7 linked regions of the Ovis aries genome follow. The protein of the gene in region 1 interacts with the protein of each later gene in a pairwise test. Links are inferred from orthologs where the notes say so. Each region holds a gene or a part of one and is shown in the gene's direction. Other genes may lie near its edges.

Region 1 (2,198 bases):
AGTGGATACTCTGCCTATGCATAACAGCGAATCAGACTGGAGCTCTTCTTGTTCCTCATTATCCCATCAGTGACATTCATTTATTTACCATTTATCAAATGCCTTCCCTTGGAGGCACTTTGCCAAGCACTGAGGGTACAGCTGGGATTGATACAGTCGTATCCTTGTCTTCATGAACCTTCCAGTCTGGTTGTTCCTCAGACCTCTCGATTTCCTTCATTTTGTCTTTCATCCATTGTCTGTCTTAACCATTATCCCTTGTTCTCCTTCCCTCCGACAGAAGCGAGACATTCAGCTGCTCAAGGCATACATGCGTGCAATTCGCAGTGTCAATCCCAACCTTCAGAACCTGGAAGAGACCATTGAGTACAACGAGATTCTAGAGTGAGTGTCATTCAGGATGTGGAATCCTCGTTCCATGTCCTGACACTGAGCCCTGAGGAGAGAAGAGCAGGGAAGTGGCAGAGGGGGAGGGTAAGAAGAGGGCTGGGCCGGGGCCACTGCTCCTCAGATGATGGGATGAAGAACACGAGGCGGAAAAGAAGGGGATCACCTTCAGCCCCAGTACAGGATCTCATATTTTTGGTGGATGGAACGGAAAGCTTACCTAAGAGTTAGGTGGGTACCCACATGCACAAAACCCTGTGTTAAAAGAGAAAATATTGTCCCTGTCTTCAGGGAGTTTACAATTCAGAGAAGAGAGTGCAAAGATCCAGGAAAGTGATCTAAAATGTGGCAAAAACAAGTGAAGTCTAAGATCCCTTTCAGTTTTAGAGTTCTACATAGTTCATAGACTAAACTGTGAGTCAGTCTATACAGTGCTGCAAGGGACACAGAATAGAGGAATCATTGCTTCATTCGGTATTCATTTTTGTTGAATACTTACTACCTGCCAGGCACCATGTGCTAAGTATTGGAATTTTCAGAAGAAACAACAGGAACCCTACACTTGTGGGGTTTAATCCGGTGAGGAACACGTGCTGACACTCAGATGGGACCACCTAGGGAAAGATCTGGAGTTTCTGAACCAATGGTGGAAGGAAAGAAGGAGGAATCAAGTTAGGCTGAGGGCAGAGCAGGCAGTCGTTACTATTAGGAGGAAAGCCAGTGCAGAGAAAGGGGCTGACCTTCACTGACCCCCTCCAACTCCCTCCACACAGGTGGGTGAACTCCCTGCAGCCTGCACGAGTGACCCGCTGGGGCGGCATGATCTCCACCCCTGACGCTGTGCTCCAGGCTGTCATCAAGCGCTCCCTGGTGGAGAGTGGCTGTCCTGCCTCTATTGTCAATGAGCTGATTGAAAACGCCCACGAGCGGAGCTGGCCCCAGGGTCTGGCTACGTTAGAGACAAGACAGATGAACCGGCGTTACTATGAGAACTACGTGGCCAAGCGCATCCCTGGCAAGCAGGCTGTTGTCGTGATGGCCTGTGAGAACCAGCACATGGGTGACGACATGGTGCAGGAGCCTGGGCTCGTCATGATCTTTGCGCATGGTGTGGAAGAGATATAGGAGATCTTGATGGGCTCTCTGGAAGAGATGAAAATCTGAAGATCCTGTCACTCCAGCAGCAGGGCCCCAAGTCCTCCCCACTTTCCTTAATACCGTGGCTTACCCTGGAGCCACACGTGTCCCAGCTGTGCCACCACTGAAGGGGGCCGCAGGGCACTCTGCTCAGCCTTTCAGGTGGGAAACCCAGATTCCCTCCTTTTGTCTAATTTGTTCCCCCAAGATGTCTGTAAATTTTCCACCTGATTGGGAAAGTCCCCATCTCTATTTCTGTTTTCCTGCCTAGGGTCCCTGGTTCCAGATATTTTCAGAAAGCACAAAGATACTCATTTTTGATAGAGGATCAGGATGGAGTGAGGAATCGCTAACTGTTCCCCTCCTCCAAAACCTGGGAATCCAGATGAGGCAAGTCTGTTGACTCTGAACAGCACTTAGAGGGCAGCTGTGGGGAGCAGACATCCTGAAGACATGGTAGAGTGGAACAAAAGCCTAGAAATAAATAATGAGGCCAGTAGGCCATCGCTGGCAGCCCTTAAGAGAAGACTGGACCTCGGTGCCAAGCAATACCCCCAGGCCACTTAAAGGTGTGGGCTCCTGCCGGGCCTGCGGGTGTACAGTTGGGGATGCCGAATATTTTCAGATGAGCTCTTCTTTCCTACACTTTCTCACAGTTAGGCAATGACAGGGTT
Region 2 (3,500 bases), on another chromosome or scaffold:
TCATTCAGGGCATGATTAAAGTAATGTGAACGTCATTCTGGGGAGAAGCAGACAGATTCATGGGACATGTAGCCCCTATTTGTGACAGATCCTTAAAAGCAAACCTAGAACTACTGTCCTGCGGCTGCGAGAGAAAACCAGAATCCTGGAGCATCCTGAAGCCAGGTTGTGTGACTTCCATGGCTTCTCTAGCATTAAGTGAGGTGCCTTGTGCCAGTATGAGCAAACAGCCTGGGGCAGCCCCATAGCATTCATTTGTAGCCACAAGGAAACATTTGTAAGTGGGTTAATTTAGGGTTTATTTTAAAAGAGCTGTGGCAATCTCTTGTTTAATGATTAAAGTAAAACCCATGGACTGCAGCCAGCCAGGCTTCTCTGTCCATGGAATTCTCCAGGGAAGAATACTAGAGTTGGTAGCCATTCCCTTCTCCGGGGGATCTTCCCAACCCAGGAATCAAACCTGGGTCTCCTGCACTGCAGGCGGATTCTTTACTGTCTGAGCCACCAGAGAAGCCCAAAGTAAACTGGCACCCCTGCTTTAACATGTGATATTTATTATTAAAGATTGACGAGCTGGAAGAGCAGTGCAGCGAGATCAACAGAGAGAAGGAGAAGAATACCCAGTTGAAGAGAAGGATTGAGGAGCTAGAATCAGAGCTCCGAGAAAAGGAGACGGTGAGTGGCAGAGCTCTGAGCCGTGCTGCTCACATCCCCTCGGCCTTGGCGGGTGGTCTCCACCCAGGGACACGGCAGGTGGCCGTGGGACGTGTGATCGGCCCTGGCAGCTGTCCAGACAGCAGCACAGAGACAGAGCCAGGAGCCACACCAAGGCACAAAGAGCCCAGAGCAAAGGCCTGACCATCACCCCGTGCAGCCTCCTTGTGTTTATTATATATAGACAGTCTCTCAGATCCAGGAGGAGTTGGGCATTTTCAAACGCTCTTGGAAACTTTCGTAGATGGTCCCTCATCAGAAGTTGAGTTCTGCTGTCAAATTAATGCAGCAAGAACCCCCAGTCACACAGTCATTTATCTCCTGGGGGGACAGGACAGCTAAGTACAGTGGCTCACCTCTGCACAAACGAGTCCCATTCCGAGAGCATGTTCACAAGTCCAGTTTGTTCCTAAGTCCAACAAAGTTAGCCTAGGTACCCAACTAACACAATCAGCTACGTAGTACTGTGCTGTAATAGGTTTATCATACTTTTCACACAAATAATACATAAAAAGCAAACCCAAAAAATAAAACATTTTTAATCTTGTGGTTTAGTACCTTGAAAAGTACAGTAGTATCAGCTACCTCAGCACTGCTTTGACACTTGCTTCTGGACCTCCTGGACTTGAAATAAAGATACTATACTGCTGTCCTCTATACAGTCCTGTGTAGTAAGGGACACAAAAGCTCAGCCACGTGTGGAGGATGCTTGCACGTGCCAGTGTACACCAGGCACATGAACTGATTTACGCAAGTGGACGTGCGAATGCACGTTCTCATCTGTGTAAGTCTGCAGCTCGAAGGTCCGTATGGAGGGGACTCACTGTCCACAGAGGCTGGAGACTGTGGGCAAGTTACCAGTCCTCTCTCAGCCTCAGTTTCCCTACAAAAAGAGAAATCATGCTTCTCTTTTCATGGTGGTATGCAGGCTTCATGCTTTAATTCACGGGACATAATCAGCCTTTAGAATTACCTGATGTGTGTTAGGTATAATATCATCACCGTTATTTACACGGACAACACAGGTTCCAAAAGCTGCTTCCATGACTGTACACACAAAGTTGGGGATTTTCAAGAATACATTTTATCTCACTTGCTCTCATATTCTTCTTCAAACTTCTGTCCCCTGTAGGAGTTGATAGACCTCCGAAAACAAAGTGAAATCATACCTCAGCTCATGTCAGAGTGTGAATACGTCTCTGAGAAGTTAGAGGTAAGAGCGGGGAGCACATGCACTTTGACTCAGGTGTGAAGGCATCCGTCATGTTACCCATTTCTCCGAGGCCTCTCCCATTCTCGCCTCACTTGGTGAAGAAGAGTGACTTTGGATCCCTAAACAGCCAGTGTAACTACTTGCTGGTTGCCTGCTCTGCCTCCAGGGGAAGACTCAGCTGTGTCTGCCTTTTTGTTTTTCCACTTATACAAAGGTGTCATGTGTGTAACTGTAGTGCAGGAGGCTGTTTCCTGCCAGCAGAAGTCCCTGCAGACCCACAGAAGGGCCAGGAAGGAGCAGGGGACAGAGGGAGGGGCTAGGGAGAGCCTCAGACCAGGGACTGTTCCACTGCCTCAGCCAGAGACCTTGGATATGACCTTGGGCAGGCACGCCTCTTCCTGGCCTCAGATTTCTGATCCACAGAGGGAGTGTTTTCAGGTCCTCCCTCACCTCCGAGGGTCTCCTCACTTCTAGAGCACTTTGTTCAGGCACACAGGCTCAGTGTTAGTAACTGGTTCCTGTAACACATTTTTAGAAGGCCTCATTTTATCCCCACAAGATGGAAGCTCTTGTTTGCTATGAAGAATGATCACGTAAGGACTCACAGCAGTCCCGCCACTGGGAGCTTGACTGTCTCCATGGCAACACCACAGGACAGCCGGTGCGCAGACCCACCGTCCCTGCGTCTGGCACGGCCAATGCTCCCTCACGGACAGCCAGCAGCTGGCCTGGGGCCAAGGAGGCCTTGCCTTCTCAGGGGAGACAAGTCACTCTCCCATGCATGCTGTTTCTCCCCCAGAATGGAACCCAGAGGGGCCCCTGCTGAAAACCCTGGGCCTGGGGCTGAAAACCCCATAGGCTGGGATGTCAGATTTCCTCTGCCAGGCACTTTATGAAAGCATCGCTTGGCACCAGGCTGCTTTGGGCAGAACTCGGAGTTCTGCATTCTCTGTGGGCATCGTTTTAAGATGAGATCGCTGCTGGCAAACAGCAGGAAGGAGGGGCACACACCTGATTTCCGGGGGTGGGGGAGCACTTGACACCTCCAGAGGCAGGCCTACCGCGGGGACCAACTGACTGACTATCACAGGTCTCAGTGGGCTCCTGCTTTGTTCCCAGACCCTTCTTTCTGTCGCTCATGAATTTGCCTTTGGCTGCGCGGGGTCTTCGTTACTGTGCTGGGCTCTCTCCGGTTGTCGTGAGCAGGGGCACACTTGGTTGCGGTGCACGGGCTTCTCACTGCGGTGGCTTCTCTTGCTGCCGAGCATGGGGGCTTCACTAGTTGCATCTCCCCAGCTCTAGAGCAAAGGCTCCGTAGTTGTGGTGCCTGGGCTCAGTTGCTCCGAGGCCTGTGGAACCTTCCCAGACCTGGGATCGAACCCGCGTCCCCTGCATTGGCAGGCGGACTGCCCTCCACTGTATCAGCAGTCCGCCCTCTCTCCTTCCGCTGCAGGCGGCGGAAAGAGACAATCAGAACCTGGAGGACAAAGTGCGGTCCCTGAAGACGGACATCGAGGAGAGCAAGTACCGACAGCGCCACCTGAAGGTGGAGCTGAAGAGCTTCTTGGAGGTG
Region 3 (3,500 bases), on another chromosome or scaffold:
TCTCTCCCACTGCTAACCACTAGTGTTTACTTTTTTGTTATAGGCACTAGTTTGTTTTATTTTTTAGATTACACATTTAAATGTTATTATATTTTTTGTGTGTGACATATCACTTAAGCATAATGCCCTCCAAGTAATTTTATACTTTCTTGAAAGTAAAGGATATTTGCTTGATGGTATCTTGTTTTTAGAGTTACACTGAAAGGAAGTTTCACATGTTACTTTGTCCCTTTAAGTTTATGTCTAGAGAAATGGATAGAAAGTTAAGTCACTAGATAAAGCTGACCAGAATATTGGCAACAGTAATGGGGGCAGGAGGGAAGCTAAGGCAATTTGAGTTATCTTAAGAAATGGAAAGATTTACTTGTTTTAAAATATATATATTTGTGTATTATATATATATTATTTTTAAAAATATATATGTATGGTAGGCAGATATATAATTATTCATTTCTAAGACTTAATTATGTGATTGAGATAAAAGTCTTTTTTAGCTCCAGTAGTTTCCATATTTATTCAGAAAACATCTACTTTGTCATGCAAACTGTTTTCAACTGGGGTATCTTCCGGTTTTGAATTTTAGGGCGGCAGCGATGACTCTGCGCACGGTATTGTTGTCATTACAAGCTCTGCTGGCAGCTGCAGAACCAGACGACCCACAAGATGCAGTGGTGGCGAATCAGGTAAGATGGTTTCTTTTGAAAGACTTCCTTACCTTGTGGTTTGCAATGTTAGGACATAAGCATATGTCTATTGAAACTAAATCTGGAAATGGTTTCCTTTCTTGCTGTGAGATTATTATATTACATATAATAGGGAAAACCTAATTTAGTGATTTTTTTAACATAGTAGTTTAATTGGGTGTATTAAATAAACCCAGTACAGTCAGTTGCTTTTTCCTAATATATTGTGCCGTTTTTAAGAATTACACAGTGAACATCCATTTATCTGCCTACTGTCTTGATTCTATGATTAACAGTTTACTTCATGTGTGTGTCCATTTGTCTTTTAATTCAGTGATGATCTTTCCCTGATGATACTGTTAATCAGTTCCAGCTGTGGCACTGAAGTGGCATGGTGAAAGTTATCTAGGACCTTGTAGTTGCCAAATGGAATCAGTATTTTTCAGTTCTAATCTTTGATTTCCAAGGCAGAGGTTAGCAAATTACAACCAGACTGGTGTGTAAATAACGTTTTATTGGAACACCCCCATTTGTTTACAGCAGAAGGTGGCAGAATTGAATAATTATGACAGGGACCACATGGTCTGAAAGCCTGAATAATTATTGTAAGAAAGGTTGCCAGCTCCTACTCTAAACCATTAGGATTTATTGAGCCTTGTAGGGGTTTTTTTTTTTTTAACCCAGAAGTTTTTTTCATCCCTTGACTTCTCTTCCTATCTTTGTAGTTGTGGTTGTTCCCTCTTAGTTCCTACCATTACTCCCTCGCCCCCTTTTTTTTTTGGCCATGTTGCCCGCCCTCTAAAATCTTAGTTCCCCAACCAGGAATGGAACCCTCGCCCCTGCAGTGGAAGTGTGGAGTCCTAATCATTGAGCTCCCAGGGAATTCCCTCTCCTCCCTTTTAAATACACTTCCTCAGTTCTTATTACATCCTTTCTTTTACTTTCTGTTTTATACTCTCATTTGGATGATCATATCCACACTGATGTTGTCACCTGTATGTTGATAACAATAGTCAGGCTTGACCTTTCTCCTAAACCCAAAAACCTGTTTGGAACCAGAGAGCTCTATATGAATATCCCATGGGTACCTTAGTACAACATTCCCGTAACTGAAGGCAGACTCATAAACCCTGTGAACCTGTCCATCCTTCTATAGACAGCTTGTTTATATATCCAAGTCGCAGATATGGAGTACTTCTCTGTGTCTCCTTTTCTCTCATATCTCAATATCTCTGTCATAATACTTCTCTAACTGCTTTAGTTCACATATTTAAAAATTCTCACTTGACTGCTCTGATGGAATTTCCTACCTCAGCCTCTTCTCTTTACCTTCTACACTGATAGCAGTTAGCTTTATAAAGTTCAAATCCTATTTCATTTTACTATTAAAAACCTATTAATACCTCTGCTGTCACCTGCTTGGTAAATCCAAATTATTTAGTTTGAAAACTTCCTCCATGATTTGAACTATCTACTAAATTCTTCAGTTCAGTTCAGTCGCTCAGTCATGTCCGACTCTTTGCGACGCCATGAACAGCAGCATGCCAGGCCTCCCTGTCCATCAGTAACTCCCGGGGTCCACCCAAACCCATGTCCATCGAGTCGATGATGCCATCCAACCATCTCATCCTCTGTTGTCCCCTTCTCCTGCCCTCAGTCTCTCCTAGGATCAGGGTCTTTTCCAAAGAGTCAGCTCTTCGCATCAGGTGACCAAAGTATTGGAGTTTCAGCTTTAGCATCATTCCTTCCAATGAACACCCAGGACTGATCTCCTTTAGGATGGACTGGTTGGATCTCCTTGCAGTCCAAGGGACTCTCAAGAGTCTTCTCCAACACCACAGTTCTAAATTCTTACTGTTCCTCAAACTCATGCTATTCAAGATGTTCATTCCTACATGTCATTTTACCCAGTCTGTCATGCCTCCTGCCTAAGAAAACTTTTCCTCTTGCAAACTTCTTCCTTTCCTTTGAAAAACTGTTCACTCCTTATTTTATGTATATTCTTGTTAATATGTCCTACTATTATTTGCCGTAGAGTGTTTAGAACTATGGTTTAACATGTTATATATGTCCTATTGATTTCAGTTTTGATAGAAGCATGGCTTGGGCCTCAGCTTTGATTTCCTGTTGAGTTCTGAGCCTCAGAGGTTGAGATTGGACTCAGTTTTCTTTTGACTCTGTTGGGTCTTCTCACTTATTTCCTTGTTAATAATGGTAGAAACTAGATTTATTATTTTAATGTATAGAAATAACGCAGTGTGTATAAAACATCTTAAGAAATAGTAAAGTGAATTTCATATTTTAAATTTATAATTTGCTTTATTAAGTAATGGTATTCTCAGAATACTTGAGAATAAATTTACCTCTTCCAATGCATATGAAGAATCTTACATTTTAAAAAGTGCTCTGTCGTGAGTTCATAATCACCTTAAAACATGTGCTATAAGTTAGGACTGCACATGGGGTTTCCTTAAATCACTACAGTAATACAACTCTTAACAAAACAGCCAACTCTGTATTCTAGCCCAAGCTGTGATTAATACAAAAATTGGTCACATTTATTAGTTACTTACTGTCCACTTAATTTTAGAAGCTAGTAATTCTGTTTATCTGTGTAATGTTTCCCACTGCATGATGATTAGAGGCATCTCTAATAACTCTGTTTATTGTTAGTTTTCTACTACTTTGTCGAAATTGGAGATTAAAGTTGATAAATATTTATCTTTGTTTTTCTTTCATCAGTGCAACTTGTGAATTGCAAGTTCACATTAAACAGTCTTTCCTTCAGTGACATAGTTTGCTGTGGAAAGTGAATCA
Region 4 (4,079 bases), about 160 Mb from region 1:
AGGCTCCTCTGTCCGTGGAATTCTCCAGGCAAGAATACTGGAGTGGGTTGCCATTTCCTCTTCCAGGGGATCTTCCCGACCCAGGGATCGAACCCAGGTCTCCTGAATTACAGGCAGATTCCCTGCTGATCCCCCTACCACTTTTCTTGCTCCTTTAGGCAACGGAGGGGGAAGCAAAATTAGGTCTTCTGAGACCTGATGGGGATTTTAAAGGTTCATCTCTTGATCTGCACAACAACCTTGTGAACTGAAGAATTATAAGCAAGCAATTGTCCAGCCCTTGCTGCATACTGGACCCTGCTGGGTCCCCATCGCTGGCCTGGAAGGCTTTGGATTGCGTTTTTCTTGGTGGCCGGGGTCGGGGATGGGGGAGCCCTACTCTACCCATTTTTTTATGTTTAATTGTAGGCACATGGGGTTGTCTTTAAATTCATCTCTAAACGTTTTCCACTTCCTTCAAGACTTGTCCCTGACGAGTGTCAGGTGGGAGAGACTCCCAAGCCCACGTGGTGGAGGGTGGGGGCGATGGGAGACCAAGGCTGCCACCTGAGCGGCTGGGACTGGCGCACCCCTTCACGACGAGCTATCCAGAATCACGAAGGCATCAAGGCTCCACCCTGGGCCTCAAGGTTGTGGACGTTCGAATGCGAGGCCCAAGGCCAGACGCTACTCCTTAGAAAAGTGGCCCCAGCCTTGGGCTCATTCCTGTTAGATTCAACTGACAGTAACAGAGCTCTTGACCCAAGATCTTGCGTGGGTTTGATTATCCCCATTTTACAGATGTAGAAAGTAAAGTTCATTGAGTCCATCAAGGCAGAAAGTGGAAGCCCCAGTAGGCTGCAAGGGCTAAGGAATCGTCCCCATCGCCCGTCAGGGTGGGTGTGGTCCAGTCAGCCTGGGGAGAAGGTGAAAGCCAGGCCCAACCGTGGTCCGACCCAACTCCCACCCAAGTCGGGGGCACCGGGGGTCCTTCCTGGGAGCTGGGCACGGATCCGGCCGGTGTGTGCTCGCTCAATGGGCGGAGCTAGGACGGCGCCCAGCGGCCGCGAGCGGGATAGCAAGGCGGAGCTGGGCCGGGCCGGGAAAGGAGCTTCCGGGCCTAGGGCTGAGATCGGACTTGGCTGCCGGTCTGCGCCCTCCAGTCCTGCGGAGCTGTCCCCGCAAGGCACCCCTAGCTTGCGCGCCCAATCGCACCGCGATCCTCCGAAACCGCAGAGGGCGCTGTCGCCGCCGCCGCGATCCCTTCCCCGGGGCTTGAGCGGGCCGGAAGCGCGCGGGTGACTTCCGGCGCGTAGCCCCGGGTTGGGCGGTGCACCGGGCCGGGCGCGGGGCGGGGGACTGGACCCAGCGAGCGGCCGAACCTGGTCAGGACCGCGGGCTCCGCGACGTATCCCAGTCGACGTCTCGGCCTCGGTGGAAGGTGCGGCCGCCGCCATGCCGTTCCTGCATGGCTTCCGGAGGATTATCTTCGAGTACCAGCCGCTCGTGGATGCTATCCTGGGCTCCTTGGGCATCCAGGACCCCGAGCGGCAGGAGCCCCTGGACGGGTAACTCGCGCCCTTCCCCGCCTCAGACCGGCGCGGCACCCCTTTCCTTGTCCCCACAAATATGGCGGGCGGTGTCCTCATCTGTCAGAGGAGACCGAGGGCGGGCGGGGATGGGTGGAGGCGGCCGCGGCCCGCTCAGGGAGGCCCGTGGGGCGGGGTGGCGGCAGGGCCTCTGCCTCAGCGCCCCACCCTGCGCCCTGCCGGTCCTGTGCCCTCTACCTGGAGCTGCAGAGGAGCAGGATGTAGTCGGTAAACGCGGCGCGGGATGAGCTTTCTGTAGCCCGGAGTTTCTCGTTTGGTATAGACAGGCGCGCGTCTGTCATACGTTAGCCTGTGGGAAGGCTGTTCAGAAAGCGCATCGTTTAGAGGTTACATCGGCGAGCTAAAACCCTCACCCTTCGTGGTGATCGTGCTACCAGAGAGAGGCTGACAGTGGTTAAAGTGGTATATACTGCCTTACGTGGAGTGGAGAAAAGAGCCGAGGAGAGGGGGGATCGGGGGTGTGTTTTGGGCATCAGTTGGAATTGGCGAGGGGGGGTAGGCGGGTTGGGGCTGTGGTGCAAAGGGCTTTCTGGGTCCCTCAGCCTTTGGTGGACCAAACCGTCTCTGAGTGTGATCGGGCTTTGGGAGGTCTTCTGACCGCCCTGGCTGCTGGGCGGCCTGAGCTGGGGTGCAGCACCTTCTGCAGCCCCGGGTTAGTCGGTGTCTGGTTCTTGCCTTTGGCCGCAAGGGTTCCCTTCAGTGCCAACAGCGCAGGTGTATGAGGCTTTGTACCTAAGTCAGGGGCCAGGTTGTATGGGTGACTTGGAAGGAGGTTGATGACAGCCCCAGTCCTTTCTCAGCAAACCTGGAGTCTGCTCCATTGAAAAGATCCAGCTTGGTCCACCAACCTTTTCGGAAGAGACTTTCTGCCCCATGGAGCCAGGGCCCTGCCTGGGGTGGGAGTGGGGGCGAAGTGGGGGTGACTGCAGGAGACCAAGGCCACTTACCCGCAGGGTGCCCTGCCAACCTGTCCCACCCTCAGCTGCTCCTCTCTCCTGCCCCAGGCCCAGTTATGCTGCCAGCGAGGAGAGCCGCATCCTTGTTCTCACCGAGCTGCTGGAGAGAAAAGCCCACTCTCCATTTTACCAGGAAGGCGTGAGCAACGCCCTGCTGAAGATGGCCGAGCTGGGGCTGCCGCGCGCAGCCGCTGTGCTCCTGCGGAATGGAGCCAACCTCAACTTTGAAGGTCTGCCGGAGCCTGGAGGGCTGGGGTGGATAGATGGCTTGAGTGTGGCCTGCCGGGGGTGGGCAGTCAAGCCTCCAGGCTCTGCCCTCATCTCTTCAGGGGTGATGCCTGAGGAAACCCACACTGGGTGGCCTCCCACCCCCTGCAGTTTCCCAGAGGCCCTCAACCACCTCTGATCAGGAGCAAGTTTGTCGCTGCTCCTATCAGGCGACTGACTTAGCAAACTTTCCCCCAGCTCCCAGCTAAATCCTTGCTTCCATTAATGCAAAAATGGGGCTGCTGGCACTGTGCCCAGAGCTAAGGGAAAGTAATTTTCTGCCGCTGGTTCTGAGCCATGTTGCATGCTGGTTCCTGCCACAGGGAGAGGGGGGAAACAGATAAGACACATTGGGCATAAATCACGGACTGATGGTGTTGGCGTCTAGCTGGTGTGCCCGGGAGGTGCTGATGGAGCCATCTTCCTTCCCTCTTTGTTTTGCCCTGGGTGGGGGGTTGGGGGGGCAGGCAAGGTCAGCCGGGAGACACTCGGGACTGACTTGTTCCCGAATGGGGTTTTTGTGCTGATACAGGACGTGCCAGGCGTGTCTCTCCTCCCCTTTGGAGGACAGGCTCAGAGGCGGCTGGGCTCCTGGGAGGTCAAGGAGCGGGGGAGGCGTTCTGCAGTCAGTCACTTGGGAGACCCAGCTTTGAGCATTTGTGGGTGTTCCTCCCCACAGCCTTGTTTTAGGTCCTATTTTACAAAAGGGACTAAAACCCAGATTAAGTACCTTGTCCGTTCACTGGAACACCTCCCCAGGACCCGAACCTAGGCCTGACTGAGCACCCTAGCGTCTGACGAGGACAGCTGTGTCCTGACCCCTCACGGTGCCAGGAGCCCTTGGGTCGGAGCGTTGGGGCTAGGCTGCCAGGCTGGTCCTGGAATCCTGTGAGAATGTGCCGTCGGGCAGGGCTGATGTGAGCTGTGTCTGCGCCTTCAGACCCGGTCACCTACTACACGGCGCTGCACATCGCCGTCCTGCGAAACCAGCCTGACATGGTAGAGCTGCTGGTGCGCCACGGGGCCGACATCAACCGGAGGGACCGGGTAAGAGCCAGCCCTGCTCTGAAGGAGGCATGTGGCCGGGGCCCTGAGCCGCTCACAGGCCCCAGGGCCAACCTGGCTGTGCTTTCTTGGCTCAGATCCACGAGAGCAGCCCCCTGGACCTGGCCAGCGAGGAGCCGGAGCGCCTGCCCTGCCTGCAACGCCTCCTGGACCTCGGAGCAGACGTCAATGCGGCCGACAAGCATGGTGGGTGCTCCTGGGA
Region 5 (4,007 bases), on another chromosome or scaffold:
CCCTCAAAAAAAGAGTATTTCATGACACATGGAATCTGAAATCTGTCAAATTCACATTTCAGTGTTTCCATAAATAGATTTCTGTTGGAAAACAGCTATGCCCATTCATTACAGCTGTTTTTGAACTATAACAGCATGAGTAGTTTGGACAGAGAACCTTCTGGCCTACAAAGCCTAAAATACTTATTATCTCCTCCTTTAGAGAAAATATTTGCCTGCCTGCAGAGGAAGATGAGGGAAAGTGCTAAGAAGAAAAGCAGGGAGGTGAGACGGATCGGGGAGGAGTAGGCCTGCAATTTCCTTCTAAGACCTCATTGAGAAGATAAAAGCTGCCATGGTAACCACAGAAGGGCTCCAGGCCGAGGCCTGGGGAAAGACCAGGAGCTCTTACCGAAGTATTCGAGCCAGTTCATTTCGCGCAGCGCCTTGGGGAGTCGCAGGATCTCAATGTTGTACAGGTTATCCAACTCTTTGAGGAGGTTCTGCCTGTCTGACTGAATTTGCTTGGATCGCATTTGCACTGCGAGAGGGCAGAGAGGACACGGCACGGGTCACCCCGCGGGGAAAAGGTTCCCGGAATCCCTGCTGCCCGCGTCCCAGTCCTCCAGCACCCCGCGATTGCCCCCAAGTGACCGCGACCACCCGGGCTCCGCCCCTCACCTTCACGGTCGAAGTCCTTAAGAAAGGAGGCGAGCTTTCGGTTCCGCAGCACATTGGTCTTAGCCACCCGACTGCCGCCCTTCCTAGACGGAGCCATGGCCCTTCGATGGAGGCTGCGGGGAGCTAGGGGCGGAGGCACAAGGCGTCAGCGGCGGAGATGGTGAAGGAGAGGGGGCCGCAAGGGGGCGAGGGAGGGTGGAGGGCCCCCCTGGGGGTTTGAATTGGGGACCCCTGCCCTTCCGGGCCCGAGGAATAAAGGATTCGCGAGGCACCCACCTGCAGGTTCTGAAACCCGGGCTGAGGAAAAACCCGGCTGCTTCAGCCGAGAAGGAGCCGCTCCGGGACGAAAGCGACGTGAGACCGCCGCCACCAAATTCAAACTGCCAAAGGCTGGCCAATAAAAAGCCGCCGTCTTAGGAGGGTTTCACAACAGCCAATCACAGAGAAGCTTCGCAATTGGGCAGCCAGTCCACACGTAAACTACAGCACCCAGAAGGCATTGCGGTCCGACCGCATCTTTTTCGCGACTCTGTAACCACGTCTGGGCATGCGCAGAGACACAGCGGAGGTGTGCGGAGTCTTGGAATTTCCTTAAAGTGTTATTGCTTTAGTTTTGTTTTCCCGCTGGTTTAGAAGAGCGGCCGGAAACCTCAAGTAGAGGAGATAAGATTCTGGCTCCGGAAGCACGGATCGGCCCAGTGAACCTTCAGTCTGAAACTGCCCTAAGCCAAGGGGTAGGTTGAGCCTCTCTGAAGGTAAGACTCGCGCTAGAAACACCTGTCGGGAGGGATGGACGGCCCTACATGAGCAAACTTTGTTTAGCTGGACCTCTCTGAGAACGGAAATAACTCCCACCCTTGACTCGGCCCTTTGCCTGTCGACTTGGGACCCTAATGATATTTGTTTTTTCCTGGGTTTTGTTTTTGTTTTCACCCCTACAATAGAAGATGACTGAAGATCAGCCTTTGCTTGCCGTGCAGGAGGCCCTGAGGAAGTGCTTTCCTGTGGTGGACGAGCAGCAGGGCCTGTGGCAGAGTGCTCTGAGAGACTGCCCGCCCCTCCTGGCCTCCCTCAGCAACCTGGCAGAGCAGCTGCAAGCCACACAGAACCTGCGATTTGAGGATGTGCCCTCACTTCGGGCCTTCCCAGACCTAAAGGAGCGGCTGAGGCGCAAGCAGCTGGCGGCTGGTGACACTATCCTGGACAAGCTAGGAGAGAGGCTGTAAGAGGCACAGTGGCGCTCTTTCTTGGCCTAGAGATGTTAAAACTGGGTATTTAATAATCTAGGATCAGTGAGAAAGGGGGTTTTTCTCCTTAAGAGAATGGTATTTGGGGATGTGACAGCCTTACCCCCTTTCCATCTGTTGCAGTGGGACCTCTCTCTGTCAAAAAACCATTTTCTGGCATTTCCCTTATCAGCTAGGCATGACAGTGGTGGACTTAGTAAAAGTTACCAAAGCAGAACAGAAAAGCAATGGAGAAAGCTCATTGACCCTCCACTGTAGTTTTCCTTAGGTAGAAAGCAGCAGGAGTTACACTGTAAACTTAGTAGGTGCCAGCAGCAAGGATTTTACATACATTATCTCATAAAATCTTTTCAACAACTGTGACTTAACCTCACTTAATCCCATTTTTCAAGTGAGGAAACTGAGGCTCACGCAAATTGCCTGTGCTCAGGCAGTTAGTAAATAGTAAAGCTGGGATGCTCATCCGAGTGCCTCTGGCACTGGGGCCAGAAGCTCCTAACCACCGCTTTGTTCTGCTGTACATTGGTGTCTGAGCGAGGAGAAGCACCAATGTTAGGCCTTCGATCTTAGAATTACAGGTAATTGGGGATAGAGAAGAGAGAAGGCACATATGGCCTTCCCTTAACCAGGATGAAAGAAGGTTCTAGTGTGTAGGGTTTGCCATAGACTGATAGGAAACTCAAAGATGGGGGCCTTCTTTGTATTTATCTGTACTAAAAACATTAAGAACCCATGGGATGCAAAACACAGGTGCTAGGAATACAATGGAGAAGGCAATGGCACCCGACTCCAGTACTGTTGCCTGGAAAATCCCATGGATGGAAGAGCCTGGTAGGCTGCGATCCATGGGGTCTCAAAGAGTCGGACATGACTGAGTGACTTCACTTTCACTTTTCACTTTCATGCATTGGAGAAGGAAATGGCAACCCACTCCAGTGTTCTTGCCTGGAGAATCCCAGGGACAGGGGAGCCTGGTGGGCTGCCGTCTATGGGGTCGCACAGAGTTGGATACGACTGAAGCGACTTAGCAGCAGCAGCAGCAGCAGCAGCAGCAGGAATACAATAGTAAGGCCGACTTAGTTCCTAAGTTGAGTAAAAGAGTCAGTTAAGTTAGGTCATTATACATTCTAAGGTAGCGAACTTTTATTTCAGTTGATTACATGTTTTTATGTGGGTATTGGGCTGTTATTTTTAGCCTAGTTTTTATTGTGAGTCACAGTCAAACTTGAAAGCTGCAGTTCTAGGCTAGGGAGTTCCTTGCCCTTTGGGAAGTTGTAGCCTTCGTCTTATGGCTAGACCTCTTGGAGTCACTAATGGAATAATAACTTTTAAAATAATTATATAATAATTTTTAAAATAATCATGTAAAAATAATAAAATTTGCCATAAGCTAGGTACTTCCCTAATGGCTTAATATGCATTATTGTATTTACTCTTCACAACAGTCCTTTTCATTCACTGGACAAATGTTTGTTGCTTTGTCGGCCAGTCTCAGTGTTTTAGGTACTTAGGATGCACAGTGAACAAAAGAGACTTGTTTTTGTTCGTGATTGAGAATAAGTAACTTTCCTGAGATCGACAATAATCTGTGTGCGTCAAGAGCTCAAATTTTACCCATTCAGGAATTCACGAGGGTGGGGCACGATATAGCATGAGCGCAAGACTGCTCTATTGCTGTAGTTTCCTCTTGCTAATTCCTTTCACATATGTGGCCTTAGACTATGTGTGAACATTTCCTCTCCTTTATGGGAGTCCCAGAAAGCCTGCTTGGTCTTTACTATCTTTGGCAGCTGGGCCCATCACACAGCTTTTGAGAGTGATGTAACTTCAGCCTCATCATCTTTAAGTCAATTCTTAATTGTTAAGCCACCCCTCCATCCAAGGCACCTGGGACCAGTAGATCTCCTTCGGAGGCAGTTTTTCCCATTGGGATGTGTGGCAGTATCTGGAGACAGTATTGATTGCCACAGCTTGAGATGGGTGGGGACATAGTTTGCTTTTGTCATCTAGTAGGTAGAGGCCCAGGTTGCTGCTGAACAACCTACAACCTACAGTGCAGCCCTCCACCACAAAGAATCATCAGGTCCAAGATGTTCTTGG
Region 6 (4,234 bases), on another chromosome or scaffold:
CAGTAATATTGTCCTCAGAGGCCCTTCTGGAACCTCAATGGACCCTTCCCAGGGGACTCCACTTTCAAAAACACGGATTGCTTTTCAAAGACAGAATTCTTTAATACAGAAAAGGGTTCTTTGTCTTCTGGGTATGCACGTGAGGGCTTCATTTCTTAACTTGATTTTCAGTGATTCATTATGTGACCTTCCAACAAGTTCCTTTTTTTAAGTCTTAAAAAAAGTGTGGAGCTGATACTGAATAAAAAGAGACTAACACATGTAGTTTGAAAACTAGTGGGAATCCTGGCACTGGGACCTGGGTGGGATTTCAGAGAGGAGCTCGTGGTCAGACTGGTGTTGGTGCTGCCGCGCTCCAGGAGGCTGGCTGACTCCTGCCCTGGGCCTTGGCTGGGACCAAGTCGTTGTAAATCTGTAAACTAATCAGACCCCTTTGACCAGAAGATCAGGCTCAGGGGATCTGACTCTTTGAACCAAAAAAGGAAAAAGACCTGATTGATAAACTATAGTTTCTTAGTTTATACTTAACCTTTATGTACCTTTGTGAAATGGAGGAAATAAGAGCACTTGTTTCATGGGGTTATTTTGAGGATTGAAATGATGTGATTCAGGTTACTCACTAATCAATGCATTGAGTAGATTTGGAGTGCTTGGGAGCAGTGGCAGATGGTGAGAAGTGATTAGATTCTGGGTGTATTTTGAAGATAGGGCTGACAGCATTTGCTGATGAATTGGTGGGATGTGGAGTGTGAGAGCAAGAGGAGTTGAAGAGGACTCTAAGGCTCTCAGCCTGAGCATCTTGGAAGGATGGAGCTGCCACTTGGCTGAGATGGGACATTGTGGGAGGAGCAGGATTAAGGGCTAGAAACAGGAGTTTGAATTTCAGATATCCAAGTGAGATTTGGGGAAGGTAGTTGGAAAAAAAAAATCAGTCTGGAGTTCAGGGAAGAGGTCCAGGTTCAAGCTGTGGATTTAGGGGTCATTGGCAACAGATGGGTATATGGATGGTGTTGGTGGTAAAGAAAGAGGATGAGATGGTTGGATGGCATCACTCGCGATGGACATGAGTTTGAGCAAGCTCCGGGAGTTGGTGACGGACAGGGAAGCCTGGCGTGCTGCAGTCCATGGGGTCGCAAAGAGTCGGACACGACTGAGCAACTGAACTAACTGCAAAATGGTAGAGAACCTTCTTGCCAGTGCCGGAGACAAGAGATGTGAGTTCGATCCCTGGGTCAGAAAATACACTGGAGGAGGAAATGGCAACCCACTCCAGTATTCTTGCCTGGAGAATCTCATGGATAGAGGAGCCTGGCAGCCTGCTGTCCCTGGGGTTGCACATCATCAGACACAACCGAAGTGATTTAGCACAGCACGGCAACAGATGGCATTTAAAATCATGGATTAGACAAGATCACTGAGGATTGACTGTGGAATGAGAAGTGCCTGGAACGGTGAAGGCTCAGTTAGTGTTGGCAGTTGTTCCCACTATTGCTGTAATTACTCATTATTCCTGTTTATTGGAACAGTTACAGTACTGCCAGGTGAGCCAGAATCTCTCGTTTCTTTTCTTAGTGCAAATCTCTTTGAGAAAAGCTGTATTAGAAATTTCTGTAGGGAATATAATACCGGGATCTGGGGGGTTGGGTGATCCTCCCTGAAGTCATGAACCCACAGAGCTGGATAGACTCAAGCATTGGGCTTCAGTAGACCTGGGTTTGAGTCCTGGCTTTACTGTACCAGCAGTGAAACCTTTTTGAATCTCAGCTGCTTCATTTATTCAGAGAGAGTCACCTTGCACCAATATAGGTGGATTCAAGGAAGTAAATGTCAGTTCCCTCCCCTCCACACTCAACAGGGGCTAGGACTCTGTCCTAGGGCCAGTCAGGGTTCCTGCTCTGAAACTTATGGGATGTTGATGTTCTTTCTCTCTGCTGCTTTTAAAGACCTATCCCAACTACTAGCACTTGTGAATAATGACGACCTTCCCTTGTGAGATGTGATTCATTGCAGTTAATTAGATTACAGTTTATATTTCTTTAATGACAGTTTAATCGTCTTAATGGGATTTAGAAGACAAGTTTGTCTTACAGCATCACATATATTCTTTTTGAATGCAGATGAAGATATTTAGTGTTCATTCCTAAAGGTTTCAGCTTTCAAAGGGGAGTGATTATCTCTGCTTAACCCATGAAAATAGACAGCAGGCTTACCATTTCTGAGCCCTCATGACCCTTTGTAGCAGCCAGAGCTGCAAAACTTCTCTTGGTAGTTCCTCTACCAAGTATGGTCTTCAGGAAGGATATTTAAGGAGCAATTCTAATACCACAACTGTTGAATCTATCTGATGGATGGTGTGGACCACTTCAAGAAGCAGTAGATTCCTCATTGTTAGAAATGTTCAAGCAGGTGCAAATATCCAGTTACAAAGTAAGTAAGTTGTAGAGATGCAGTATACAACATAGTGATTAGAGTTAATAATGCTGTATCGTATATCTGAAGACTGTGAAGAGAGCAGATCTTAAAAGGTCTCATCACAAGAAAAAAACTTGCTTAACTGTGATGGATGTCAGCAAGACTCACTGTGGTGCCCATTTCTCAGTATATACAAACATTCAACCGACGTGTTGTCTTCGTTGTTTAGTCACTAAATCATGTCCGACTCTTTTGCGACCCCATGGAGTGTGGCTCACCAGGCTCTTCTGTCAGTGGGATTCTCCAGGCAGGAATACTGGGGTGGGTTTTTGCCATTCCCTTCTCCAGAGGATCTTCCTGACTCAGGGCTCAAACTTGCATCTCCTGCATTGGTGGGCTTATCCTTTACCATTGAGCCAGGGGGAGACCAATATGTTGCATAACTGCGACTAACACAATGTTATGTATCAATTTTGTCTCAATTTAAAAAAAGACTATACTCTTTCATTGTAGAAATAGATACCTTAAAAAAAAAGTTTTTCCCCTCCCTTGGTATCTCATGTCCCAGAGAAAACCTTTGTAACCTGTTATGTCCATATTCTCTTAGATTTCCTGTTATCTGTTTAGATAGTCCCCAAAATATGATTACCCTGTGTTTTCATTTCTTATTTAAAGAATGTGATTGGTTCTTAGGACCCATCAAGCGACTTGATTTTCCTTTGTTTTTTATCCTCTGGGATTAATACAGAAATAATAGGTCACCAATATTGTCTGTGTGTTGTTTAACTCTCTGCCTGGAAAATGTTAAATTCTCAAATCCTATAAATCATTTGCACCCTGTGGTCCCTTTGGAAAGCTTTTAAAATAGTTTCTTTAAATAGCTGTAGTACTCTAAGTATCACCCATTACCTTTTTATTGCCCATTTTCTTCAAAGGGGACATGAGTAAATATAGCAACAATTTTACTTTTATTGATTCTATGACCTTTTCATTAAAACAGCCACTTGATAATAAAGTAAATCCATATCTAGACTTCTAAACATTTATGAGGCAGCTTCTTTAATTAGATCTTCAGTGATGTTGTGGGCCTTAATGGAGCTCTTTCAGGATGCTATCAGTGGGCTGTGTAGAGTAATATAAACTGCTGCTTGCATAGTACCCCCACTAGCATTTAGTAGGATTTATTGATAATCCTAGTCCCCTGGAAGGTAAATACTGTCGTTTAGTTCTATAGCCTTTTGTCATGTGTGTGTTAGTGTCTTGGTCGTGTCCAGCTTATTGCGACCCCATGGACTGTAGCCCACTAGGTTCCTCTGTCCATGGGGTTCTCCAGACAAATATATAGGAGTGGGTTGCGATGCCTTCTTTCAGGGGATCTTGCTGACCCAGGGATTGAGCCCAGGTCTCCTGCATTGCAGAGAGATTCTTTACCATCTGATCCACCAGGGAAACCCCTTTTGTCGTGAAAGTGAAAGTCGCTCAGTCATGTCTGACTCTTTGTGACCCCATGGAGTATACAGTCCATGGAATTCTCCAGGCCAGAATACTGGAGTGGGTAGCCTTTCCCTTCTCCAGGGGATTTTCTCAACCCAGGGATCGTACCCAGGTCTCCTGCATTGTAGGCGAATTCTTTACCAGCTGAGCCACCAGGGAAGCCTTATACATACTACTAAACTGTAACAACCCTTTAGGTGCCTGGTAGACTAAAAATACTTACATGTTTGTAGAATCCTGGGTTCATTACAGCATTTTTTTTCATATTGCAGAATTGTGAAATTGTCTATAAGTGGATTATAACTGAAGTTAAAGAATTTATCATTGC
Region 7 (4,179 bases), on another chromosome or scaffold:
TATTGGAATGGGTTGCCATTTCCTCCTCCAGAGGATCTTCCCGACTCAGGAATCAAACCTCCTCTCTTGCATCTCCTGCACTGGCAGGCAAGTTCTTTACCACTAGTGCCACCTGGAAAGCCCATGATTGATTATAGGATCTCCAAGTTTCCTTCCAGTTCACAAATTTTATAAAGTCAGTTTCATTTCTCTTTCACTTATCATTACACCTCTCCACTTCAGAAAAGCTCTGCTCAAACATTTAATTTGGATAGATTTGACTGAAGGAACTCAATTTCTACCCTGTTGTATTTCTCCAACCACAGCTGCAAGAGAGGGTTATGCATCACAAGTTGCGACCAGAAACAAGAGTTTTATAAATAGGAGGAGAAAACCGGAAAGAATTAAAAGTGTCATAGCCCAAAAGGAAGCCCTAAAGGAATAGCTCATGAAAGGAGAATTGACTTTTGATGTGTCATCAAAAGGGAAATGTAAAAAAAAGCAAAAGGAGTGGGGACGGAACGGGCATCCAAGACACAAGGCATAATAAAGAGAGGTTTTGCACCGCACCCCTGACGCCGCAAGCGGCAAGTGAACCTTCGGCTGTTTGCCCTACAAACTTTGGGAAACTTCAGCAAAAAGCCCACCTCCAGGAATGTGCTGGGACCCAAACATGGGTTGATGAGATAAAGTTGTGAGAGGTCGCGTTTTATCCAGGCCAGCACCTTGTCCCCTACCCCAACTGACTTCAGCCCACTTCACGAAGGGTCCGAGGCTGAGCCTGGCTGCTCGCAGGACCCGCCAAACCCAGCCCAGCAGTCTTAGCATCAGATTCTGTCAGGGGCTCCCGCAGAGGGCGCGGGAACTTCGGACTGGCCCCGGGGCTCACCGCAGTCCTTGAATTTCACCGGCTCGGCCAGGGCGGAGGCACTGAGTGCCAGGAACAGGAACGAGACGGCCAAGAAACGCATCGCTGCTGAGGCTCCAAGCTCAAGGAAGGGAGAACCAGCTGTCTCGGTCACAAGATAAAGTCTTCAGGGACGGGCCGGGCCTGGGGAGGAGCCCAGTCAGGCGGCTGGTCACTGGCCAGCGGGGCCGAGGCCTGTCCGCGCCCCGCCCCCGGGTCCACGGAGCCAGACAAGGGGTCCGAGACTCTAGCAAACTCCGCCCATCCGCTCCGCTCCGCCGCAGGGCAAGCGGGATCCATCTTCATCCGGCGCTCCGCCTGGGCTTTGTGGGTGCGTCCCCACTTCCGCAATGGGAGCATTTCTAGCCAATCAAGTCCCTTCTCCTTCCACATCTCCCAATAGATGTGCTTGGGGGCGGGGTTTCCGTGGATCCCACCTCCCGAGGCCCAGGCGCGGAAGGCGATTGGGGAACTGTGAGGGGGCGGAGCCTGCAGAAGAAAATGGCGGCCGTCCGGGGGCTAACAGCTGTGGCCCTGAGAGTGGTGACTCCCTGGCAAAGGAGCAGGTAACCAAGCCTAAAAAAGCACCTGGTTAGGCCCTCCAAGACTCAGGAGAACTAAGGCTCGCTGGGGAGGTGAAGGTTTGGCGTGAGGCTGTTAGGGGAAGGGACTTCAGGTTTGGCGTGAGCTGTCCGGGTGGGGGAACTTCAGGTTTGGCGTGAGGCTGGCCGGGTGGGGAGACTTCAGGTTTGGCGTGAGGCTGTCCAGGTGGAGGCACTTCAGGTTTGGCGTGAACTGTCCGGGTGGGGGAACTTCAGGTTTGGCGTGAGGCTGGCTGGGTAGGGAGACTTCAGGTTTGGCGTGAGGCTGTCCGGTGGGGGGACTTCAGGTTTGGCGTGGGGCTGTCCGGTGGGAGGACTTCAGATTTGGCGTGAGGCTGGCCGGGTGGGGAGACTTCAGGTTTGGCGTGAGGCTGGCCGGGTGGGGAGACTTCAGGTTTGGCGTGGGGCTGTCCGGTGGGAGGACTTCAGATTTGGCGTGAGGCTGTCCGGGTGGGGAGACTTCAGATTTGGCGTGAGGCTGGCCGGGTGGGGAGACTTCAGGTTTGGCGTGGGGCTGTCCGGTGGGAGGACTTCAGATTTGGCGTGAGGCTGGCCGGGTGGGGAGACTTCAGGTTTGGCGTGGGGCTGTCCGGTGGGGGGACTTCAGATTTGGCGTGAGGCTGGCCGGGTGGGGAGACTTCAGGTTTGGCGTGAGGCTGTCCGGTGGGGGAACTTCAGGTTTGGCGTGGGGCTGTCCGGTGGGAGGACTTCAGATTTGGCGTGGGGCTGTCCACGTGGAGGGTTCTAGGTGCTCTTCTGCTCCCAATCTCATCCACCTCCCTTGCGCAGCAGGATTCTCACGGCCTCCCGCGGACCCCGGGCGCTTCGGGAAGTGTCGTCCTCTAGCCCTGAAGCTGGCGAAGGGCAGATCCACCTCACCGACAGCTGCGTCCAGGTGAGAAGCCGGTCGCGGGGCAGGGGTGGTGGTGGGGGGAGGGGGAGGATTTCCTTTTGGTCCACCCTTCTTTCTCTCCTTGCCTGGCATTCTTGACTCTCCTTCCTGCATTTCAGAGGCTTCTGGAAATCACCGAAGGGTCAGAATTCCTCAGGCTGGAGGTGGAGGGAGGTGGATGCTCCGGATTCCAGTACAAATTTTCACTGGATACAGTTATCAACCCCGACGACAGGCAAGGAGAAAGGGGTGGGTCCTCCGAGAATGTGCAGGAGGGATAAAAGTGTCTCCAATTTAAGATGCACTTTTATTCCACATTTAAAACTTCTGCTAAGGATAACATTGCACCACCCTTCTCACACAGTGGGGATACAGTGAAGATTTGTTGCCTTGATTCAAAATAACTAAGTCATAGGAGGAAAATTGGCCTAAGTCCATAGGGTCATTGGTAGAGAGTCAAGCTGGACTAGAAAGTTTCCAGGCCTAAATTTCTATAATTTCCCAGTACTCTTTCCATTAGATCTTTTTGCCTCAGAGAAAATCAGTACCTGTTAGAGGTCATAAGGGAAGCTTCCTCAGTATTTTAGAAAACAGGATGGGCATCTCTGGGCTCAGAGGGTGTTATGTCTCTGGTGTTTATGATGTTCATTAATGCCTTCCTCCCTTCTTTTCAGGGTGTTTGAAAAGGGTGGGGCAAGAGTGGTGGTTGACTCTGATAGCTTGGCCTTCGTCAAAGGGGCCCATGTGGACTTCAGCCAAGAACTGATCCGAAGCTCATTTCAAGTGTTGAACAATCCTCAAGCACAGCAAGGTTGCTCTTGTGGATCATCCTTCTCTGTCAAACTTTGATGTGATGACAAGTGACCCGGAGATTGCTATCATCTGACTGATTTGAGGAACCTGGGATTAGAACAATTCTAGAAGTTTCCTTCCTATCATGACCCTCTCTCAATTTTATTTTCCCTTAATTCAGGATGTTGTTTCACCACTATTTTCAGAATGTGAAACTTTTACTCTTGATTTAATTTCTCCTACACAGTTGTAAGGCCAAGCCTGTGGATGCTGTTACCTAAGGTTTAGTAACTGGTTGAAACCAGTATCATCTGTAGCACCTCCAAGGTTCCAGGAGTTAGTTCTCTGGCCTTCAGAGCTACTTGTACAAATGTGTATAGCTATGTATAAAAGCTTCGTTTTAAAGAAAGTCCTTATTTATTTGTGTTGTGGATCAGAATCACAGATTGCATAGCTTGAACACTGTGTTACTAGACCAGAGAGGATGAGAAAGCCAAAAGGAATGTTATCTTTTTGTTTTGCTATTTATTTATTTACTTACTTTTATTGAAGTATAGTTGATTTGCGGTATTGTGCCAATCTCTGCTGTACAGCGAAGTGACTCAGTTATATACATATATACTTTCCTTTTTATTTTCTCTTCCATTATGGTTTATCACAGGATATTGAATATAGTTCCCCTGTGCTATACAGTAGGACCTTGTTGTTGAAATGTTATCTTTTTCATCTCACCCTTCCTTAATGTGCTAGTTTACTTACCATTATTTTCTATGCACCCGATTCTTCGCTTCCCATTTGTTACAGCAGATACATTTTCTTCTCATACTTAGGAATGTGTTAGATTCACGAAACCAATAACCCATCACCCAGAAAAATTTCGAACTAAACCTCACTGATACTTGAATCATAAGTTTGAAAATAAGCTCCATACTCCATATTTGCACAAGACATTTCGTGATTCTTTGCTCATTTAGTGACTAAATCTTTTTAAAATATGTTGCTTTATT

What was found.
Region 2: the proteins of RNF41 (region 1) and HOMER2 interact in binary tests that used the Homo sapiens proteins (3 or more experiments, as listed by UniProt). The link is inferred for Ovis aries from reciprocal best matches to the Homo sapiens genes RNF41 and HOMER2.
Region 3: the proteins of RNF41 (region 1) and UBE2K interact in binary tests that used the Homo sapiens proteins (3 or more experiments, as listed by UniProt). The link is inferred for Ovis aries from reciprocal best matches to the Homo sapiens genes RNF41 and UBE2K.
Region 4: the proteins of RNF41 (region 1) and ASB6 interact in binary tests that used the Homo sapiens proteins (3 or more experiments, as listed by UniProt). The link is inferred for Ovis aries from reciprocal best matches to the Homo sapiens genes RNF41 and ASB6.
Region 5: the proteins of RNF41 (region 1) and AIRIM interact in binary tests that used the Homo sapiens proteins (3 or more experiments, as listed by UniProt). The two-hybrid records come from large-scale screens. The link is inferred for Ovis aries from reciprocal best matches to the Homo sapiens genes RNF41 and AIRIM.
Region 6: the proteins of RNF41 (region 1) and ENOPH1 interact in binary tests that used the Homo sapiens proteins (3 or more experiments, as listed by UniProt). The link is inferred for Ovis aries from reciprocal best matches to the Homo sapiens genes RNF41 and ENOPH1.
Region 7: the proteins of RNF41 (region 1) and ISCA2 interact in binary tests that used the Homo sapiens proteins (3 or more experiments, as listed by UniProt). The link is inferred for Ovis aries from reciprocal best matches to the Homo sapiens genes RNF41 and ISCA2.

The regions. Positions count from the first base shown.
Region 1 is NC_056056.1:163,346,186-163,348,383, forward strand, and holds part of RNF41 (E3 ubiquitin-protein ligase NRDP1), read left to right. Parts: exon of another isoform or gene 1-280; coding exon 281-384; intron 385-1,160; coding exon 1,161-1,512; 3' UTR 1,513-2,198. UniProt on the Homo sapiens protein: Acts as E3 ubiquitin-protein ligase and regulates the degradation of target proteins. Polyubiquitinates MYD88. Negatively regulates MYD88-dependent production of pro-inflammatory cytokines.
Region 2 is NC_056071.1:22,434,833-22,438,332, reverse strand, and holds part of HOMER2 (homer protein homolog 2), read left to right. Parts: intron 1-564; coding exon 565-675; intron 676-1,846; coding exon 1,847-1,927; intron 1,928-3,380; coding exon 3,381-3,500. UniProt on the Homo sapiens protein: Postsynaptic density scaffolding protein. Binds and cross-links cytoplasmic regions of GRM1, GRM5, ITPR1, DNM3, RYR1, RYR2, SHANK1 and SHANK3.
Region 3 is NC_056059.1:59,572,693-59,576,192, forward strand, and holds part of UBE2K (ubiquitin-conjugating enzyme E2 K), read left to right. Parts: intron 1-583; coding exon 584-683; intron 684-3,500. UniProt on the Homo sapiens protein: Accepts ubiquitin from the E1 complex and catalyzes its covalent attachment to other proteins. In vitro, in the presence or in the absence of BRCA1-BARD1 E3 ubiquitin-protein ligase complex, catalyzes the synthesis of 'Lys-48'-linked polyubiquitin chains.
Region 4 is NC_056056.1:6,876,127-6,880,205, forward strand, and holds the start of ASB6 (ankyrin repeat and SOCS box protein 6), read left to right. Parts: upstream 1-1,279; 5' UTR 1,280-1,434; coding exon 1,435-1,547; intron 1,548-2,593; coding exon 2,594-2,775; intron 2,776-3,752; coding exon 3,753-3,859; intron 3,860-3,954; coding exon 3,955-4,063; intron 4,064-4,079. UniProt on the Homo sapiens protein: Probable substrate-recognition component of a SCF-like ECS (Elongin-Cullin-SOCS-box protein) E3 ubiquitin-protein ligase complex which mediates the ubiquitination and subsequent proteasomal degradation of target proteins.
Region 5 is NC_056054.1:12,499,422-12,503,428, reverse strand, and holds the start of AIRIM (AFG2-interacting ribosome maturation factor), read left to right. Parts: upstream 1-1,207; 5' UTR 1,208-1,394; exon of another isoform or gene 1,395-1,415; intron 1,416-1,604; 5' UTR 1,605-1,607; coding exon 1,608-1,882; intron 1,883-4,007. Other genes in the region: CDCA8 (borealin), read right to left, coding at 392-520, 661-757. UniProt on the Homo sapiens protein: Part of the 55LCC heterohexameric ATPase complex which is chromatin-associated and promotes replisome proteostasis to maintain replication fork progression and genome stability.
Region 6 is NC_056059.1:97,940,372-97,944,605, forward strand, and holds the start of ENOPH1 (enolase-phosphatase E1), read left to right. Parts: upstream 1-1,434; 5' UTR 1,435-4,234. UniProt on the Homo sapiens protein: Bifunctional enzyme that catalyzes the enolization of 2,3-diketo-5-methylthiopentyl-1-phosphate (DK-MTP-1-P) into the intermediate 2-hydroxy-3-keto-5-methylthiopentenyl-1-phosphate (HK-MTPenyl-1-P), which is then dephosphorylated to form the acireductone 1,2-dihydroxy-3-keto-5-methylthiopentene (DHK-MTPene).
Region 7 is NC_056060.1:83,866,196-83,870,374, forward strand, and holds the start of ISCA2 (iron-sulfur cluster assembly 2 homolog, mitochondrial), read left to right. Parts: upstream 1-1,379; 5' UTR 1,380-1,387; coding exon 1,388-1,452; intron 1,453-2,277; coding exon 2,278-2,383; intron 2,384-2,499; coding exon 2,500-2,615; intron 2,616-3,054; coding exon 3,055-3,229; 3' UTR 3,230-4,179. Other genes in the region: NPC2 (NPC intracellular cholesterol transporter 2), read right to left, coding at 869-950. UniProt on the Homo sapiens protein: Involved in the maturation of mitochondrial 4Fe-4S proteins functioning late in the iron-sulfur cluster assembly pathway. May be involved in the binding of an intermediate of Fe/S cluster assembly.